2 linked regions of the Rhinolophus ferrumequinum genome follow. The protein of the gene in region 2 purifies or fractionates together with the protein of the main gene of each other region. This does not show direct contact. Links are inferred from orthologs where the notes say so. Each region holds a gene or a part of one and is shown on either strand. Other genes may lie near its edges. The genes, in order: EDC3 and PIM1.

The links.
Region 1: the proteins of PIM1 (region 2) and EDC3 purify together in Homo sapiens (affinity purification with mass spectrometry; 3 studies listed by BioGRID and IntAct, counting the BioPlex papers as one, with this or other methods). This does not show direct contact. The link is inferred for Rhinolophus ferrumequinum from reciprocal best matches to the Homo sapiens genes PIM1 and EDC3.

What each region holds. Positions count from the first base shown.
Region 1 is NC_046289.1:99,280,824-99,290,462, forward strand, and holds the start of EDC3 (enhancer of mRNA-decapping protein 3), read right to left. Parts: upstream 3,933-9,639; 5' UTR 3,794-3,932; intron 1-3,793. UniProt on the Homo sapiens protein: Binds single-stranded RNA. Involved in the process of mRNA degradation and in the positive regulation of mRNA decapping. May play a role in spermiogenesis and oogenesis.
Region 2 is NC_046286.1:6,942,741-6,952,027, reverse strand, and holds the start of PIM1 (serine/threonine-protein kinase pim-1), read right to left. Parts: upstream 3,701-9,287; 5' UTR 3,249-3,700; coding exon 3,167-3,248; intron 3,061-3,166; coding exon 2,954-3,060; intron 2,847-2,953; coding exon 2,796-2,846; intron 2,705-2,795; coding exon 2,338-2,704; intron 846-2,337; coding exon 669-845; intron 1-668. UniProt on the Homo sapiens protein: Proto-oncogene with serine/threonine kinase activity involved in cell survival and cell proliferation and thus providing a selective advantage in tumorigenesis.

The sequences.
Region 1 (9,639 bases), on a different chromosome or scaffold from region 2:
ACAACCATGCTCAGCTGTTTGCTTGTTGTCTGTGGCTGTTTTCACACTACAATGAAAGAGCTGAGTGAGTAGTTATGACAGATTACGTGCCCCACAAAGCCTACCGTCTAGCCCCAAACAGAAAAAGTTTGCTGACTCCTGCTTTAGGATAAAATTCTGTGGGAAAAATAAAATGGATATAAGTTCAAAAAGGAAAAGGAAAAATATGAAATGGACAATTCCCAGAATGATACAAATTACCAAAATTACCAAGAAGGAATAGAAAATGGGGATAGACCTGTATCAAGTAAAGAAATTGAATTAGTAAATTAAAGAAACACCACAAAGAAAAGCCCAGGTCCAGCGGAGTTCATTGGTAAATTCTATCAAACATATAGAAAGAAATAATTAACAATCCTACACAAACTCTTTCAGAAAATATAAAAGGAAGATTTCCCAACTCATGAGGGTAGTACAGTTGACCCTTGAACAATGCAGAAGTTTGGGGAACCAACTCCTATGGAGTCAAAAATCCGAGTGTAACTTTTCACTCCCAAAAAGCTTAACACTGTTCCTTGGTATCCACAGGGAATTGATCCAAGACATGGCCACACCCACGCAGACACCAAAATCCACGGATGCTCAAGTCCCTTATATAAAATGGCATGAAACAATGCACACAGTAGACCCTCCACATCCATGAATTCCCAACCGCGAATTGAAAATACTGTTTGTGATCTACTGTTGGTTGAATCCGTGGATGCGAATCCCAGAGATAGAGAGAGCCGACTGTATATTGAGAAAAATCTGCATATACGTAGACCCAAACAGTTCAAACCCATAGTGTTCAAGGGTCAACTGTGTTACTCTGATACTAAGGCCACACAGTCTAAGAAAAGAAAACCTCAGCTCACTATCCCTCATGAACACAGACACAAAAATTCTTAACAAAATATTAGCAAATTGAATTCAGCAACATATAAAAAGTATTATACATCATGACTAAATGGGGTTCATTACAGAAACAAAAGATTGGCTTAATATGTGAAAATCAAGTAATGTAATACACATTTATACATATCTTAGAGGGGTTATTTTTATATAAGAAAGGCTATTTGTATATTTTTAAAACATAAAATTGCTATTATATTTAGATAACTTTGTATTTATTTTTAAAAAGTCAATATTCACAATGTCAGAAATTACACCCTAAACTTTTAAAAATTAAATGTTTAATCTATTTAAATTTACGAAAAATTTCAGATGCCAACTTAAAAGTGTGTAAGAGATACATAAATTTCCCAATGTTTTGGACACTCTCAAGCAAAAATGTGTTAAGACTACACTGACCCCAAATATGCCTGAAATGACAAGGGGAAAAAGAATTACTCATGCCAAAGGAATGCCACCGTATCTTCAGACAGCCAATAATAAATTCTTTTTAAAACTGACAAATTCCAACTCCTTTTCACTACTACCCCCAAATTAATTTACTCTTACAGAGTACCCAGACCTAAACCTAATATTCCAGGTGTGAGCCAACCAGTTCCGGGGTCAAGTGATGTACCTCCCTCATTCTAGACCTTCCGTTCCCTTAATGCAACTAGCGACTGCAGGCCCCACCAGTTCTCCCAGTCTAACCACACCCCTGAATCAGATGACTGAGACTCCACTTCTTTTTATTACGTGAGCCCCTCCTAAGTCCCATCTCTACATTAACTGGTATAACTGAATTTTTTGGATCCAAGGGAATTCCTCACGTTTATATAACCCTTCCATTTCATTAAATTGCACTGGGAAAATCTTGAGATTAACCAGATGATACTTTCTCTCTTCACTTCATTAAGGCAACATATTTGATAGCACACCTTCCAGATAAGACTTCAAAAACATACTGTATATAAACAAAGTGACAGAGTCTCAACTCAGATCAACAGAATCCCAGCTATAAGTGGGATCAAACTGCTCAGACACAGATACTCAAAGTTATGACTCCATCTAATTTTAACACAATCTGGCAAATTCCTCCATCTAATTCACGGGGCCATCATAAAAGACTTAACAAATGCCTTGTTAAAACAGACACACTATCACTATGCATACTACATTCCTTTGGGCCACCATTTGCATGTCCTGCCCTGTTGTTCTGGCTGAATTTATAACTTGAGTAACTGCTACTCTGGCTGAGAAGAACAGAAAAATGACACATTTTCCACTGTGCATTAACTGCAGAATCTTAGAAATGAATCACAAGGATTTAAACATTTTCTAGTCCAGTGTTTTTCAAATTACAGGCCCATTTCAGGCCCATTAGTAGTCAATGTAAGTGAGTTGCAATCAACTTTTTTTCTTTCAATGAAATGGTGTCAGAGGGCCTCATATGTAGAAAGGCTAAACTTTTGTGGTGTGTGTGTGTATACACTGTGCATACAGGGGGCATACTGAGTCATGATGTAGTTAGTATGTACCTAACTGGGTCATAATTTAAAAGTTTTTTGTTTTTTAATTTTTTTTTAACAGGACTTTATTGGGGAACAGTATGTATTTCCAGGACTTTATTGGGGAACAGTGTTTTTCCCAGGACCCATCAGCTCCAAGTCAAGTTGTTGTCCTTTCAATTTTAGTTGTGGAGGACGCGGCTCAGCTCCAACTATAGTCACCAGTGTTCAATCTTAGTTACAGAGGGCACAGCCCACCATCCCTTGTGGGACTCCAACCCGCAACCTTGTGGTTGAGAGCTCGCGCTCCAACCGAGTCACCCATCCACCCCTCAAAAAACTTTGAGAGAAACTTTGCTAGTTCCGCAGCCCTACTCCCACAAGGAAGCGCCATCAAAAAATTCTTAGTAATCAAAAAGTTACATTATTTATAACCATCTTCACTTCATACAAAGAAACCAACAAACAGGAATTTTGTGCTCAGTACACCTATCTGCTATTCATTTAAAAAAAAAAAAAAGACTAGAATCCATCTGAGGTTTCCAGTTGATATAGGGACTTGCTCAGAGACAGTCACTTAGGCTTTGATGGGATGAAAACCAGTATCGACAGACAGCAGAATGAAATTACCTTAGTCTGAGGCCAGGAAAGAAAAGAAAAACTATTCTGGGTCTCCAGTTCCTCATGTTAACACGGAAGAGGATCCTAGCTCCAGAATTGGGAGATTTATTGAAAACCAACTGGCCAAGGAGGCAAGAACTATGCCTCCCACACACCAAAACACGTTCACCACGTCAACAAGTCAATTATTGATCAAGTCAATCAATCTCACACACAGAGTACTGATGAGCAGCTCAGACTTATACCACCACCAAGAAAGAATCAAGAGGCCGACCCCAGGATTCAGCAGAAGCTGGGCCCTGGCAGGTGTCATAAATTTCTCCGCCACCCTTCCCTTTCAGACCCCAGTTCACCTGGGTCCTCAAGCTTTCAGTCATGGATGTGGCACTCGCACTCTTCCCTGCCACCCTACCCTACTGTGGAAAGGGAGATGAGGCACGGAGCAACGAGTGGCCGCGCCGCAGCAGCCATCAACAAGGCCAAAGCAAGAGCCTAGGCCGCTACTGCCTCCCACCTCAGCCAACTCCCAGACTGTCCGGACACCCGCGGTCCTCTGCTCCCACCTCGAACCACACACCCCCCGGCAGCCCCGAGTTCCTGGCCCGCTGCGTGCCCGAGGTGGCCCCACCTCGTGCCCGCCTCCATAAAGGTCTCCGAGGCCTGGAACCCCGAAACCTAAAAGCAAACTCGCCTGGCAACCCCGGAAGCCCCCTCTCACGAGCGCCCACAAACCAGCCGCCGCCCCTCGCTCCCACCTCCACGCCGTCGGGCCCGTGTATCCTCGGCACACCAAGCCGAGCCGACCAGCCGCGCCACGGAACCCGGAGACGGAGGGGCCACTCCACGCCCACCCCCACAGCCGGGGCCGCCACTGCCGCCGGAAGCGCCCCGCGTCTCCACGCCGCCGTCGTGAGGTCACTTCCGGCGCGACGCCTTGGAAACCTCAGGGTGCGGCTTTGGGGGGCGGGGCGCCCGGGAAATTTGAGAGCTTGAGAGCCAGACCTGCGGCCTCCCGGAACCGCGCCGGGGCGGCCGTTTTGCATGTCCTTTCTACTTATAGCGGCTGGACTCCTGGTTAGAATCGGTGTCCCGCCGCCCTCCCCGGCCCAGATGCCGGGGGACTCCGTTCTTTCTTGCATTCTTGAGGACAAGCTTCGGCTTTCCCTCCCCGCTTTGCGCCAATCTCCGAGCAAGAGCGGAAGACTGGGGGGAGTGGGGCTGGCCACCCCGTCCTTAATCAGTGGCAGCTGTGGGATGCTATAAGTAGGCTCTCCGGACGGATTATAGGAAACAAGAAATTCCCTTCGTGGCTGATCTTCAGTTTATCAGCTTATGTTCATTTGGGGGTTGTCAGCCAGTCTATGCTTGACCACCCCCGTCACCCGCCCCCAAGTACTTTGTACACGCGCAAGTGCCACTCTTCCCGTGGCATTTTAGTTTTGGAAGTCTTGATTTTGAAAAAAACAGGCGTTTAGGGCTACGACTGAGTGTAATGAGGAATGTTAGAGTTTAAAGTTTACGAGGTCATCTTGAAGCCTGACAGCTAGTTTGGGAACCACTGGTTGGACAGGGAGTAAAGAGTAGGGCAGCGATCCAAACCTGACTTTTCAAAATCAGTTGATGAACTTTATAAAATTTCCACTTTCCAGGGACTCCCCTCCTGTCCCTCATCACCAGAGATTCCAGTAAAGGAAGAGGTGCAGAGATAGCCAAGGAAATGTGGGTAAGCTGGCCCATCCAGGGAAATATTATACAAGTACCGTGTTTTCCTGAAAAAAAGGTCCAGTTAAGATCGTCAGCCAGATGGACACATTTAGTATGTTATGACGACATTCCAGAGGAAGATGACATGACTGTATTTGAATAAATGTAGATTGTTGTACGTGAAAAAATAAGACATCCCCTGAAAATACGCCCTCATGCATCTTTTGGAGCAAAAACTAATATAAGATCCAGTCTTATTTTCGGGGAAATACGGTATAAGACCTGGTCTTGTTTTCAGGGAAACACAGTAGTTCAACTGGATGGAGCATATATGTAAAAAGAGGAAGTGATGATAGATTGACGTACAATGATAAGCAGGAGCCATATCCAAAGGGCTTTCTATGCCCCAAGGAGCTTGGTTTTATCCTGAAGACAACGTAAAACAAAGACGTTTAAGCAAGAAACTATGGTGGGAGTGAGACCAATTGACAAATGATGACAATCCAAACTAAGGTATTACAAGTTGGGTTACAAGGTGTAAAGGTGTTGAGGAGATAGGATCAACTCCCAGGTGTATGGCTAAGGCAAAAGATTGTTTGGTGGTGCTACTTACTCAGATATGGAATTGACAAGAATGAGGAGGATGTGGGCAGGCAGTAATAGAGGAGGAAAAGGAAGTAGATGATAAATTCAGGTCTGCATATATTGAGCTTAAGGTACCTGTGGGAGCAGTTAAAAATCCTAAGACTTGGAAAACTGGGGGCCTTGCCCTAGATCCCACACTTTAGATGGCCCCCACTCTGGTTCTCAAGCCAAGCCTTTCTCTGTGGGGCTAAGGAGACATGATTACCTAGAGCTCACACTCCCACTTTCAGACCTGCTCCATTTCTCATTCCTGGGATTCCCAAATGTCCTCCCAAATGACCTGAGTCCACTTTCAGCCCGTAGCCAAGTCTCTTCCCCAGGTTTGTCCTCCTGAGGGTGAACTCACTGCCATGGTGTGAGACTCCTAGGCCCAAGGGGTGGCCAAAAACATGGCTGTTTGGGAACAGTGTGAATGGGGCTTGGATATTTAGGCTGGGATGTTCACAATGTGGACCTGAGAAGCCCCTCACAGTATGGGATGGAATAGGGGTGGGAAGAAATGGGGAACAGGTCAGGGATCTCGTGTGTGCTCTTGCCCTGGCCATGCTCATGTTAGGGAGTCTGCTAACTAGATGCTCATGTTAGGGCCTCTAGTGGGAAATGGATCATGGGGGTGTGGCGCTGAGGAGAGAGATGAGATTTAGAAGTCATCAACAACCAGGCAGTAATTAAAGTCCCAGTAATGGGCGCTGTGGTCCAGGAATAACACACCACATGAGAAGGGCCAAAGGCCAAGGACAGAACTTGGTGGAACACCAGCATTTAAGGGATACACACAGGAAGAGAATGATTCAAAGGAAATTGAGAAGCAGTAGCTAGGAAAACAAGAAAACCCAGCAGTTGAGGATGCCAAAGAGACCCAGGAAAAAGACTTTTAAGAGAGTCGTCAACAGTGCTGACTACTGTGAAGACGAGGAAGTCTGAAAATGTCCATTAGACTTAGCAACCAGGAGGTGCCTGGTGATTCTGACAGGGGTTCGAGCGTGGAGTGAAGGGGCCAGAAATCAAATTTCTGTGGGTTGAGGAGTGAATGCAAGGTGAGCAAATGGAAGCAGTGAGTGTAGAGAACTTCAAGAGGTTTGACTGTGAAGGTGAGAAGTGAGCTATGACAATAGCTATGGAGGCAAGAAGAAGGTGACAGAATTTGCTACTCACCAAGTTCTTCTGAAGTCTTCCCAAACTCCTCAGTTAGAGAATTCCACCAGGAACTGCTGGTTATAGACAGTTGTTTGAGCTGGATGGACCCTTCCCGGCCCTACAGTCAAGTTTCTGGGGACCACTGTAGATAAGGGGGCACCCACTTGCCTCTCCTGATGTATGGAGACTTGCTTCTGCTTTCATGTGCTGCAGTCCTCACTACCAGTAACAGTCGCCAACAGGGACGTCAACCATTGGAGAATTAAATAAATTCTTAGGTTGAGAATAGCACAGCACTAATCCACAGTCCTTGACTTGCTGGCACGTCGTGGAGTTCTAGAATGGCAGAGCTGGAAGGAACCTTAGAAATGGCCTGCTTCACCCCCATTAATATAAGTGGGGGTTTAGCAAGTTAATGGTGGATCCAATACTGGGATTTGGGTCTCCATTACTTACACATAGAGGAACATATGTCCTGGTTTGCCTGAAACATTCCCAGTTCTTCCCATTACCCTGTCATAAGGATCAATATCACCCCCTTTACTCTCAAATATGTTCTGGTTTAGACAAATTCTAAGTCACCCCACTTATCTAGTATAGGTTTGGGGGCTAAGCAAGCCCCAAATTACTAATTACTTAAGATTATTTTTGCTTTATGTGATCTAAAAGGTTTAAGTGTCTTAAACTCTTACATGTCATTTTGTAAGTGAGGTAATGTACATGAAAGCAGGTCCTGGACTATAAAATGCTAAACAGAGATTAGAATTAAAAAGAATAACTTTGGATTGAGCAAGCATTTCTTAAATATAACACCAAAAGTACAGGCAACAAAAGAAAAGATAAACAAATTAGACTTCATCAAAATTAAAAAGTTCAGTGCTTCAAAGAACATATCAAGAAAGCAAAAAGACAACTTAAAGAATGGGAGAAAATATTTGCAAATCATATCTGATAAGGGTCTAGTATCCAGAATAAAGAACACACACGCCTCAACAACAAAAAGATAAACAACTCCATTTAAAATGGGCAAATGACTTGATAGGCATTTTTCCAAAAAAGATATACAAATGACCAACAATGAAGAGGTACTCAACATCACTAATCATTAGGGAAATGCAAGTCAAAACCTCAATGAGGTACCACTTAAGACCCACAAGGATGGCTATAATTAAAAATAAAAATTAAAAAATGTAAGTGTTGGTGAAGATGTGGAGAAATTAGAATCCTTATGCATTGCTGGTGGGAATGTAAAATGGTGCAGCTACTGTGGAAAACAATGTGGCAGTACCTCAAAAAGTTAAACATAGGGGCCGGCCCGGTGGCTCAGGTGGTTAGAGCTCCGTGCTCCTAACTTCGAAGGCTGCCGGTTCGATTCCCACATGGGCCAGTGGGCTCTCAACCACAAGGATGCCAGTTCAACTCCTCGAGTCCCGCAAGGGATGGTGGGCAGCGTCCCCTGCAACTAAGATTGAACACGGCACCTTGAACTGAGCTGCCGCTGAGCTCCTGGATGGCTCAGTTGGTTGGAGCGAGGGCTCTCAACCACAAGGTTGCCGGTTCGACTCCGGCAAGGGATGGTGGGCTGTGCCCCCTGCAACTAGCAACGGCAACGGCAACTGGACCTGGAGCTGCACCCTCCACAACTAAGAGTGAAAGGACAACAACTTGAAGCTGAACGGCACCCTACACAACTAAGATTGAAAGGACAACAATTTGACTTGGAAAAAAAAGTCCTGGAAGTACACACTGTTCCCCAATAAAGTCCTGTTCCCCTTTCCCAATAAAGTCTTTTTTAAAAAAAAGTTAAACATAGAATTCCCATATGACCCAACAATTTCACTTCTAGGTGTATGCCCAAGAAAATTAAAAACATATGTTTAAACAAAATTTTGTGCAAGAATGTTCACAGCAGCACTATTCACAATAGCTAAAGGTGGAAACAACCTAAATGTCTAACAAAAGAATGGATAAACATGGAGACAAAAAGTAGGAGGTTACTGGGGCTCAGGGTGGAGGAGGAAATGGGAAGTGACTACTTAAAATGGGTATGGGATCTCTATAGATATTTCTATTCTAGACATTTCATGTAAATGGAATCAAACAATATTTGGTCTTTTGTGACTGGCTTCTTTCACTTAGCATGTTTTCAAGATTCATTCATGTTACATGTTGAAGCATGTAACAGTACTTCATTCCTTTTTTATATAATGGCTCTATAATATGCCATTGTATGGATACATCGCATTTTGTATACACATTCATGTACAAGTTTTTATCTGAACAACTGTATTCAATTCTCTTGGGCATATATCTAGAAGTAGATACACCAAATCACTTGGTAATTCTGTGCTTAACATTTTCAGGTACCACCAAACTGTTTTCCACAGTGGATGAACCAATTTATTAATATATTACTGCCAGCAATACAGGAAGGTTTTTTCCAATTTTTCCATATCCTTGCCAACATTTATTCCCCATTCTTTTTCTGTAGTCATTCTAATGGATGTGAGTAGTGGTATCTCAATCTGGTTTTGACTTGTATTTCTCTAATGACTAATAATGTTGAACATCTTTTCATGTACTTACTGCCCATTTGTATATCTTCTTTGGAAAAATGTCTGTTGAAGTCCTTTACCAAGTTTTGAACTGAGTTGTCTTTTTGTTGTTGAGTTGGGGTTTCTTTTCTGGGGTGAAAATGTTCTAGAATTAGATCAGGGGTGTCCAAACTGCGGCCCGCGGGCCAACTGCAGCCCATGATCCATTGTTAATTGGCCCGCAGCAAATTCCAAAAATATATTCAGTTTACTTAAATAAACCAGGTGAGGCAATACGTACTTCACCTCGAGTGAGTGGCCCGGCTGTTTGTGTGTTTTACCGCATATGGCCCTTGGTGAAAAACGGTGAAAACAGTTGGGCACCCCTGAATTAGATAGTGATAATTGCACAACATTGTGAATATACTAAAAATTACTGAATTGTACACTTTAAAATGGTTAAAAGGATAAATTTGATGTTATCTGAATTTTATATCAAAAACTTCTTAAAAAGAATAATATACATAATGCACAATGAATACCCAGTTCCTTTTTTTTAAAAAAAAGCTCTCTTGGGGTTG
Region 2 (9,287 bases):
GGTCCAGAGACCGCATACTTTCTAGAACTCATATTCTTTAATGAGAAGGTATTAACATCTGGAGTCTGCTTTCAGCTGAAAAAAAAAAAACCAGCTCCCCTCTTAAACCTGTGGTTTTCAAACTTCAATAGCTGGGGCCTTTCCCACGACGCCCACTCACCAGAAATAGGAAAGATGATGACAAGGGATTTTGATGAGACATCAGTGAGCATGATGAGGTGATTCAATTCACCTACCAACTTACAAATACGAACACCACCCACAATGAGGTCACTGGAACCGCAATATTTAGAGCCTGCCTTAAGGGAGAAAGAAGGCTCAAGGAGCCCTCAACGTTTCCCTCCCTGGCAAAACAGCCAGGGGCTGTGAGGCACCAGGATGGCTCTGTTGGTACTTTAAAGAACCTTTCATCAAAAAACTAGATGGTCTTTTTTTCTTAACACTCTCCTACTTGCTCTTCCAGTGACCTCCCAAGGAATGCTCAAATGCTAACCATTAGATTGCTGGGGGCCAGCTCTCCAGGGTGAATCACTGGCCGAGGATTCTGCTAAGCCAAAGGTTGGCTGGCATCTCCTGGAGGCAAGCTCTCCAAAATTCAAAGACTGTCCTCAAAGGACTAACCACCTTGTGATTCCTGCTTTCTCAACCAGGGGCTTCCCAGAAGTTACCTGAAGAGACCCTCTGCCTGAAGAAGACTTGGCCCCTGATGATCTCCTCATCATGCTCAAAAGGAATATCTCCACAGACCATATCGTACAGCAGGATCCCCAGAGACCAGACAGCCGCAGACCTGCCATGGTAGCGATGGTAGCGGATCCACTCTGGAGGACTATACACTCGGGTCCCTGAGGCGGGGGAATAGGAAGGAAAACAAGCTTTTAGAGAAAATAGGACACAAAGCAACTGAGTAGTAAGCTGAGTAACTCAAAAAGCATCGCCTCCCTTCTCTCAGGAGCTGGGTGAACTCCATTTTCCCTCCTAGGCTCAAAGGAGTGGATAAGCGGCCTATGGCATCTCTCCAACCCAAAGCATTACCCACCTCTCTACCAGGCCCAGACCATAAACCGAAATTTTTTACAAACTGCTCCAAGAAACAAACATGGGTGGCCACAGACCCAAAGCCTGAGGCCTGTATGTGGCAGGACCACCCACAATGGGATGAAGACGTGAATGTCTGAACAATCAAGGGAGGTATTCCACAGACTATCCTTAAACTGCATTAAAGGTTGCCCAGGAGCTGGGGTGGGATTCTCATCAATGATCTAGGTGGGGACAGTTGCACAATACCCTAAGTCAGGGTGCCCTTTGGGAGGCCTTCCTCCCGCCCTCTGAGTGCAGGGGGAAGACACCCACACCCTTTCCTCCCCACACTGGAAAGGTAGACAGAGCTGCAGAGCTGGTTTCAGACCACGTGATTCCTGTTTACAAACTTTGGGTTGTAAAAAAAAAAGGGGAGGCCATCCCTCTGGTGCTCACCAGAGGGCAGCAAAGACTCAAAGGAAAAAATCATGGGAGGACCCGGCCAGCCATTAACTGTTAAATACAAAAAAATGCAGCCCAACCCAGCGTCCTCCAAGGGCAAATAAACACAAACCACAAGCCCCAGTCACAAGTTTTGAAAGGCTGTCGTTTGTTAGGTTAAGCCGCTCAGATGATGACCCGCCCTACTTTGCTTTGATGTCAGGCTCTCCATTCCATCTTTTCTGAAAGAACCCGCTCCAAGCCCCTCCCTAGGATAGGTTTTCATCCTCTCTGCGGAGACACCCAACTAATTTTCAAACCAGCAAGAGATCTTATTTCACAACATTCATTCTCGACTCCCTCACCGCACAACACACACACAAATTCAACAAAATGAATTATTTAGTGAAACTGTTTCTATTTCTTATCCGTCCCTAGATCAAAGGAGTGAAAAAAACTGCAGCTCTATAAACTACCTTACAGAAAACTCTCTTAAAAAATCACAAAACAGGCATCAATTTTCATCTCTCCCGCTCTCTCCTCCCTCTTCCCCCTCCCGTCCTTTTACTGGCGGGGAAACTGGGTCAGACTTCAGAAATCTGGGCTACGGCCGGTTGCCCACAACCTCTTATTCATCGGGAAAGCTTGGAACCCACTGAATTCCACTTAAAATATAAAATCATGCCAGAAACACTACGGGTTCAGCTGGCTTGAAATACCCGGGTTTACTACGCGGGGAAGCTCTCTTCGCCCCACCCCTGCTAGCCTGGAGCCAGGCGGCCCAATGACCTTTACAAAGGGCCGGAGAGGGAAGCTGGCCGGGGCCTCCAGGCCAGGCCGTGTCACCTGGGCAGCTCCCTCCCAGCCTTGGCTCACCGTCAAAGTCCGTGTAGACGGTGTCCTTGAGCAGCGCCCCCGACCCGAAGTCGATGAGCTTGAGCTCGCCGCGATTGAGGTCGATGAGGATGTTCTCGTCCTTGATGTCGCGGTGGAGCACCCCGCAGTTGTGGCAGTGCCGCACGGCCTCCAGCACCTGCCAGAAGAAGCTGCGGGCCAGCTCCTCCTGCAGGGCCCCCCTTTCCGTGATAAAGTCGAAGAGGTCTTGCACCGGTTCCGGCCTCTCCAGGATCAGGACGAAACTGTCGGGCCTCTCGAACCAGTCCAGGAGCCTAATGACGCCGGAGAAGCCTGAGCTCACCTTCTTCAGCAGGACCACTTCCATGGGCACGCGGGTGCCATTGGGCTGCGGGGATGAGGGAGCTGCATTAGGGCGGGAGTCGGGGGGCGCCCCTCAACCCACCCACACTGGGGGTCGCTCCCTCCTGGGCACTCACCAGCTCTCCCCAGTCGGAAATCCGGTCCTTCTCCACGTGCTTGATAGCCACCTGGAAATCACCCCAGGAGAGTATCCGTTAGATCCCCCTCGCCGGGGCCAAAACACACCGGTGCGCCCCCAACAGAACGCCCTCCCCACAGCGGGGCGCCCACTCACCGGCAAGTTGTCGGCGACACGGATGCCTGAGTAGACCGAGCCGAAGCCGCCGCTGCCCAGTAGCGGGCCCACCTGGTACTGCGACTCCAGGGGCTCCTTCTCCTTGCCTAATAAAGGGGGAGACACAGAGGACTTAGTGCCGGCCCGCGAGCCCCCAGCTCCCACCCTGGGGGCTCAGCCTTCCACCATCCCCGGGTTGGGGGGGACGCTCACCGGGCGCCAGCTTGGTGGCGTGCAGGTCGTTGCAGGGCGCGGCGCGCAGGTGGGCAAGCGAGTTGATTTTGGACAAGAGCATCCCAACCTCCAGGGTGTCGGCGTAGGGGCTGTGTCTGGAGGAGCTGCGGCAGGAGCTGGGGCTGGGGCTGTGCCGGTGGCTGTGCCTACGGCTCTGGCTGGGGCTGCGGGTGGCGTTGCGGCTGTGGCTGCGGCTGGCGCGGAAGGCCGAGGGCGAGCCGGAGGACAACTGGGGGCGCTGCCGGGGCTGGCGGCTGGCCGACTGGCCGGCGAGGTCAGGCAGCTCTAAGAGCGACGGGGTAGGAGGCTCGTGGGACTCGTGTGGCAGGGCCGCGGCACAGGGGGCTTGTAGCTGCTGCTGCTGCTGCTGCTGCTGGTGCTGGTCCCGCCGCCGCTGCCGCCAAGTCCTCTCGGGCCTCCTCCGCCACCGCGGCCGCTGCAGCAGACACCCGGCTCGCCCAGCCGCCAGGAGTAAAGGGGCGGAGCGCGCCGGCGGGGGGGCGCGCGGGCGGGCGGGGATGAGGCGGGGCCTCTCTGGGAGGCCTAGGCGGGGAGCCGGGCTGCTGGCCCTGCAGAGGGAGGAGAGGGGGTGGGGAAGCGGCGGGACCCGGAGACTCCCCCGGGGCCCCCCCCCGCGCGCTCGGTCGCCGCGCCCCGGCCCCGCCCCCGCCGGCGCATCTCCAGCCAACCAGAAGCCGACTGATCTGCATAACACGGCGTGCCCCGCCCACGCCCCGCCCAGCTCTCGCGGTCAGAATGATCTTACGCCGCCACGACGTGGCGGGAAGGAAAAGGCGCCAAAATGGAGGGGGAGGGGCGCGGGGTGTGAGGGGAGGCGGGAGCTGGGTGTCGAGCCGCGAGGGAGGAAGGATGGGGAGGGGCGTATCGATTCAAACCCAAACAATAACAAAGCCTTCAAAGGCCGCCAGAGGCCGGCTCTGCGGCTCTCCGTTTCTCGGAGGTTTTTGGGTCAAGGGCTCGAGCTGGAGCATAACAAGTTACGCAGAGACGACGGGCGTTGGCGTGTCAGGCGGGGAGGCCCGGCGGCCGGCGCGTCAGGGTGTGAGGGACTGTGTGTGTGGGGGGATGCCGACGAGGGTGGTCTTTCTGTGTGACTCAGACCCGAGACCTCCAAGTCGGCTTGGGCGGGTTGACGACACACTGTGGGCTCGAGTTGGGTCCTCGGGGGTTGGTGTGTTGGGGGCGCGTGGGGGGCGAAGGATCCGCAAGATGTGAGTCACGGCGTTTCACGGAGGGAGTGGAGGTGGCACAGGCCTGGAATAAAACTGGGGGAGAACTCCGCTTGTTCGGAGGAGGGGTCCAGATCGCGAATGTCACGGCCAGTAAAAAGAAGAATCAGCCCCCAGATTCTCAAGCAGATTTTTATTTTAAAAATGCAGAAAGGAATCCCGATTCCTAAGAAGTGATGTGTGTCTGAGTACCCCGTAAAGAGGAAATCACGAAACAAATGTTAGTATTGTGATGCCAGATGCTGTCTCAGCCCTTTGCGTGAGGGCGGGAGAGAGGAAAATTCCTCATCTAAAACGAGGGTGGGAGGGTGCGCTTTATTTAATCAGTTTCACGTTATATTTATTCACCTTTTCATCAGCCTGTTGTTACCAGTCAGGCAATGCTAGAAATTGTTGGCTGCCCCAGCCTTGTCTCAAAGGAAATCTTTCTCCCTGTCCCCCCTGGAAATAACACGGAAAACTGACCAATTCGACTTTTCATCCTTTGTCCTTTAACTCTATGTAGAATTGATAACGACGTGTGAAATGAGTAAATTAAAATTCTATGTAATCCATAAATTGAATTGTCAGTGAAAGCCAACTACATCTTACTTTAATTTTTTTTCAAGTTCTTGCCACTTAAAAAATAGGCGGTTGAAGGATCTGTGTACCTACAAATCATTAATGAATTTAAATGTTTCATTAAAAGTTTTCTACCGTGCTTATTTTATAAAAATGCCCAGGTATTTCACAACTCTTTTTATCTTATAAAATATTACATATTTTCCCTTTGTTTGTGTACTGCGACCTAACTCATTCATTTTTGAGGACTAGGACCCAAGGAAACAAGAATTATTCCCTTTTTACAGATAGGAAAATAAAACATAAGTAGAATGACACAGGGTCATACAACAGCTAAAGGAGGAAGAGATGAGATGACCCAAATTCAACTCCAGAGTAGTCAAACATTTCCTCTTATCAGGATCTAAAACTGTCCTTGGTATTAAGACATCAAGTATAAATGTATGTGAACCCCATTTCCATCTCTTCTGCTCTTTCTTTTCTCAAGCCCTGGTGGACTCTTCCCACCTGTTCCCACTCACTTAGCACTTTCCAGACTTTCTGCCTTTACAGAAGCAGTCAACCTGTCTTGAGAATGGCCTCTCTTTTATTTAAAGCTTTTACAGCCACCAGGATACAATGGTAGTTCCACCCAGGTTGCTAAACTCCAATATTCGTTCACTGTCCACTCCACTCACCTGACAATCATGTATTTGGCGGTTTTTTAATCTTTGTGTTAATGAACTTTTCAATTATTTATATGTTGTCTCCCTATTCCTTGAACGTATACTTAATCCAACGTTTGGTGATGAAGGGGAAGACCAAAATGGGTCCCAACAAAAAGGTCATGATTAAAGTCAAATTAAAGTCCAATTTAAATTATACTAAATATAAGTGAATTAAGCATGCTTAGACAAAATAAAATAAAGATTAGAAGACTAATTTAGCTTGCTTTCAAATCTGGGATCTGGCACCTACTGGTTATGTGATATTCGTCAGGATACTTAACCTTTCTCAGCTTTAGACTAAATGGAGATAATAATAGCACCTACTTCATAGAGCTGTTATAAGAAGCAAAATTCTGCATGTAAAGCAAAATTATGCTCATATAATAGCACAGAGTGAACTTATAAATATTAGCTATATGGCAATAATGCTGATTCTGATTATGACGATGATAAAACGGAAGAATTTTGGAATAGTCTTGCACTTTGGAGGTTCCAAATGTAAAATTCAGGATAAATGGTTTGATTTTTAATCATCTCTGGAGAGAATATAATTCAAAATAATTGTCTACATTAAATCAAGTTCAACCTTTTTCACTTTCTCTAGATCTTTGTAGGCCTAAATATTTAATTAGTTAGAGCTAAAGTGATTAACATTTAATATGCCTGCTTTATATGGTGGGTGCTTCACAGCTGGAAGTTGCAAAACATGGACCTTGTTTGGAAAAGAGCTTTTATTGACTTAAAACCACTTTTAAAGATAATTATTAAACCTTCAAGTATGTTTTGCATTAAAAGTTATTTTTTGAGGGCAGGGAACTTGATGTTTTGATTCACCAAAATATATTTTAAATAATAAAACAATCACTACCTGTGCTGTCTCAAAGACTCAGAAAAATCATGCTAATTATTAAATGACAAGTGCTTTTGGTAAGATAAAGGCCATGATTATGCTAACAATTCTCTGGAAAGGGGAGAATGTTATTGTTAACTTGAACAATAGCCAAATTAATCCTTAGATGGTTTCCATATTCTACCTGTTATGGATTTAATCAAGCCATTGTCAAAGGAATGACTTCAGCAATTTCTGTAATCACAGAAGTTTAGAATAAGTTTGAATGGGGTGCCTGTACATTGTTTTTTAAAGTACCTCTGAGTCTAGTTGATACATTTACATTAATTAGGTCTGTACTTTAAGTCCTCGCTTAACATCATGGACAGATTCAGGGAATTGCAGCGAAAGGACTGCATAATGAAAGCAATTTTACCATAGGTTAATTGACATAAACAAGAGTTAAGTTTAAGAGATAAGTTTTTTACGATATCACATCAACATTATAACAAAACGGCATTGAAGGAAACAACCTTATTGAAGGGCCTGCTGTATAGTTTTTTCTGTGTAAGTCTGTGTAAGCTATTTGCAATTAAGCGGGTAGAAATAATTTGGGTCTGCAGCTCTAATTTCTCTCCGACAAAAAAAAAAAGAATTAGTAAATTTTTTAAGTTTAATTTTTAAAAATTCACCACTGGGGTTGCCAGTTGGCTCAGTTGTTTGGAGCGTGGTGCTGATGATACCAGGGTTTCCAGTTCGGTCCCTACATGGGCCACTGTGAGCTGCGCCCTCTTTAAAAAAAAAATCACCATTATTTTTTGTATTCTTTCGTTTGCTGAAAAAAAGGGGAAATTTGGAGAATGCCAATTGCAATACACTTGTTTCTATACCTTAAAATATTTCCAATTACTTCAACAGTTTAAGATTATTTGGAAAAATTTAAATTTCACATATATTCCATATATGTGGAACATGGAATATATGTGAAAATTCACTACAGACTGTAAGACGTGAAACAGTCTAACTCTAAAAAGACTAATGCCTCCTTTTTAAGTTGTAGCAATTGTGGTAGTGATGGACAGCTAGGAAATTCAGAGTGTCAACTTCAGAATGGTCAGGGAATCTGTGCAGTCAAGTTAGAACTGGTTCTTGTCCTTGATAACATGTGACATTTGTTTCAAGTTTATAAATCTCTTTTAATCAGCTTTCAGTTTCCTCAGCAAGGTTGGAGAAAGAGAGTGTTTTATCCAGTAAAGTATATTTAAATTCATTTCCAATTCATTTTTTTAAAGAAATAAAATAACCTAAATTTTTTTTGGAATTTTACACATTCAGTACTGATAATTTGAGTAAAAATAATCAAAAATAATCAATATTTATTGAAGGCACTGTACACAAAGATTTTATAGCTCCTGAATATTAGTGGATAGGTAAAAACAAAAAGGAGTGGTTTAGGATGTATAAAGCCTACAGGAAACCTGGAAACTGTTATAAAATATCTTATTAGAAGACTAGGAAAATGTATGCCTCAGATCAAAAAGACCAGGCACATGAACAAAAACCCTGAGAGAAAGAAAGAAATAGAAAGGATATCATCTGCCATCTTTTAAAAAGTAAAAATAAAATTGCTTCTATAGATTCGAAAAGCCACAAAGTGCATCTAGGTGAAAGGGGCGGGGGGGGGGAAATTGCTCAAAAAGATTTTGTGGTACGTTTCTAGGCACTAAAAAGATACTAATGAAAACATTTGTTTATTGTGTATCTCGTTTGGCATTTAATAGTATACAGTCTTACTTTTCCATATTTGTTTAGTTTCTACAACTAAATCATAAATGTATTGAGGGTACAAACCATCATTTCATTGAACATACTGGCTAAGTGCTGAAAATGATTAAGTGAAAGGGGCAAAAGAGACACACTGATAGCACCCAACATTGACTGAGCATCAAAAATGTGCTAGGCATTTTCCTAAGCACTTTATATGGGTCCTCATATAAATTCTATGACATGGGCAGTTTTACTATCCTCACTGATTTACAGATAAATAAAGAGAAACAGAAGTAATTTGCCCCAGGCTACGTAAGTGGCAGCGCTACCTCCTATCTACCATGCCATTCTTTTCCAAGGAACACAAGATGAGTGTAAGGGATTTAACAAGGTATTCGACGATTAAGTTTTAACTGAGGGTATCATCCACAAGGACAGCGTTCAGAGGAGGCTGAAGAAGTCAGGGAAGGATGGAGGATTAGAATTTAGCATGAATCTTAAAGGATGAGTAAGAGATGGATAGGTAGAAAGGAGAGAGGGAACGGGGTGAGAAATGTTAGGAATTGAAGCAAAAGATGCTCTGTGTTATGTTCTTTGTATTGCCCAATACATGGGAAATGAATGAATAAAGTTTCGTTAGCTACACCAAGACATGGAAACAACCTAAGTGCCCATCGACAGATGATGAAGAATTTGTGGGATGTATAAAAAATGGAACATTATACAGCCATAAAAAGGAAATCCTTCCAATTGCAACAATATGGATGGACCTTGAGGGCATTATGCTAAATGAAATAAATCAGAGAAAGAAAACTACACTATGATCCCACTTGCATGTGGGATCTAAAAACCAACCAACAAAACAAACTCAGAAAAACAGATCAGAATTGTGGTTACCAGAGGCAGGGGGACGGGGAATTGTATGACAATCATCAAAAGGTATAAACTTCCAGTTATAGGTAAGTAAGTAATGGGGATGTAATGTA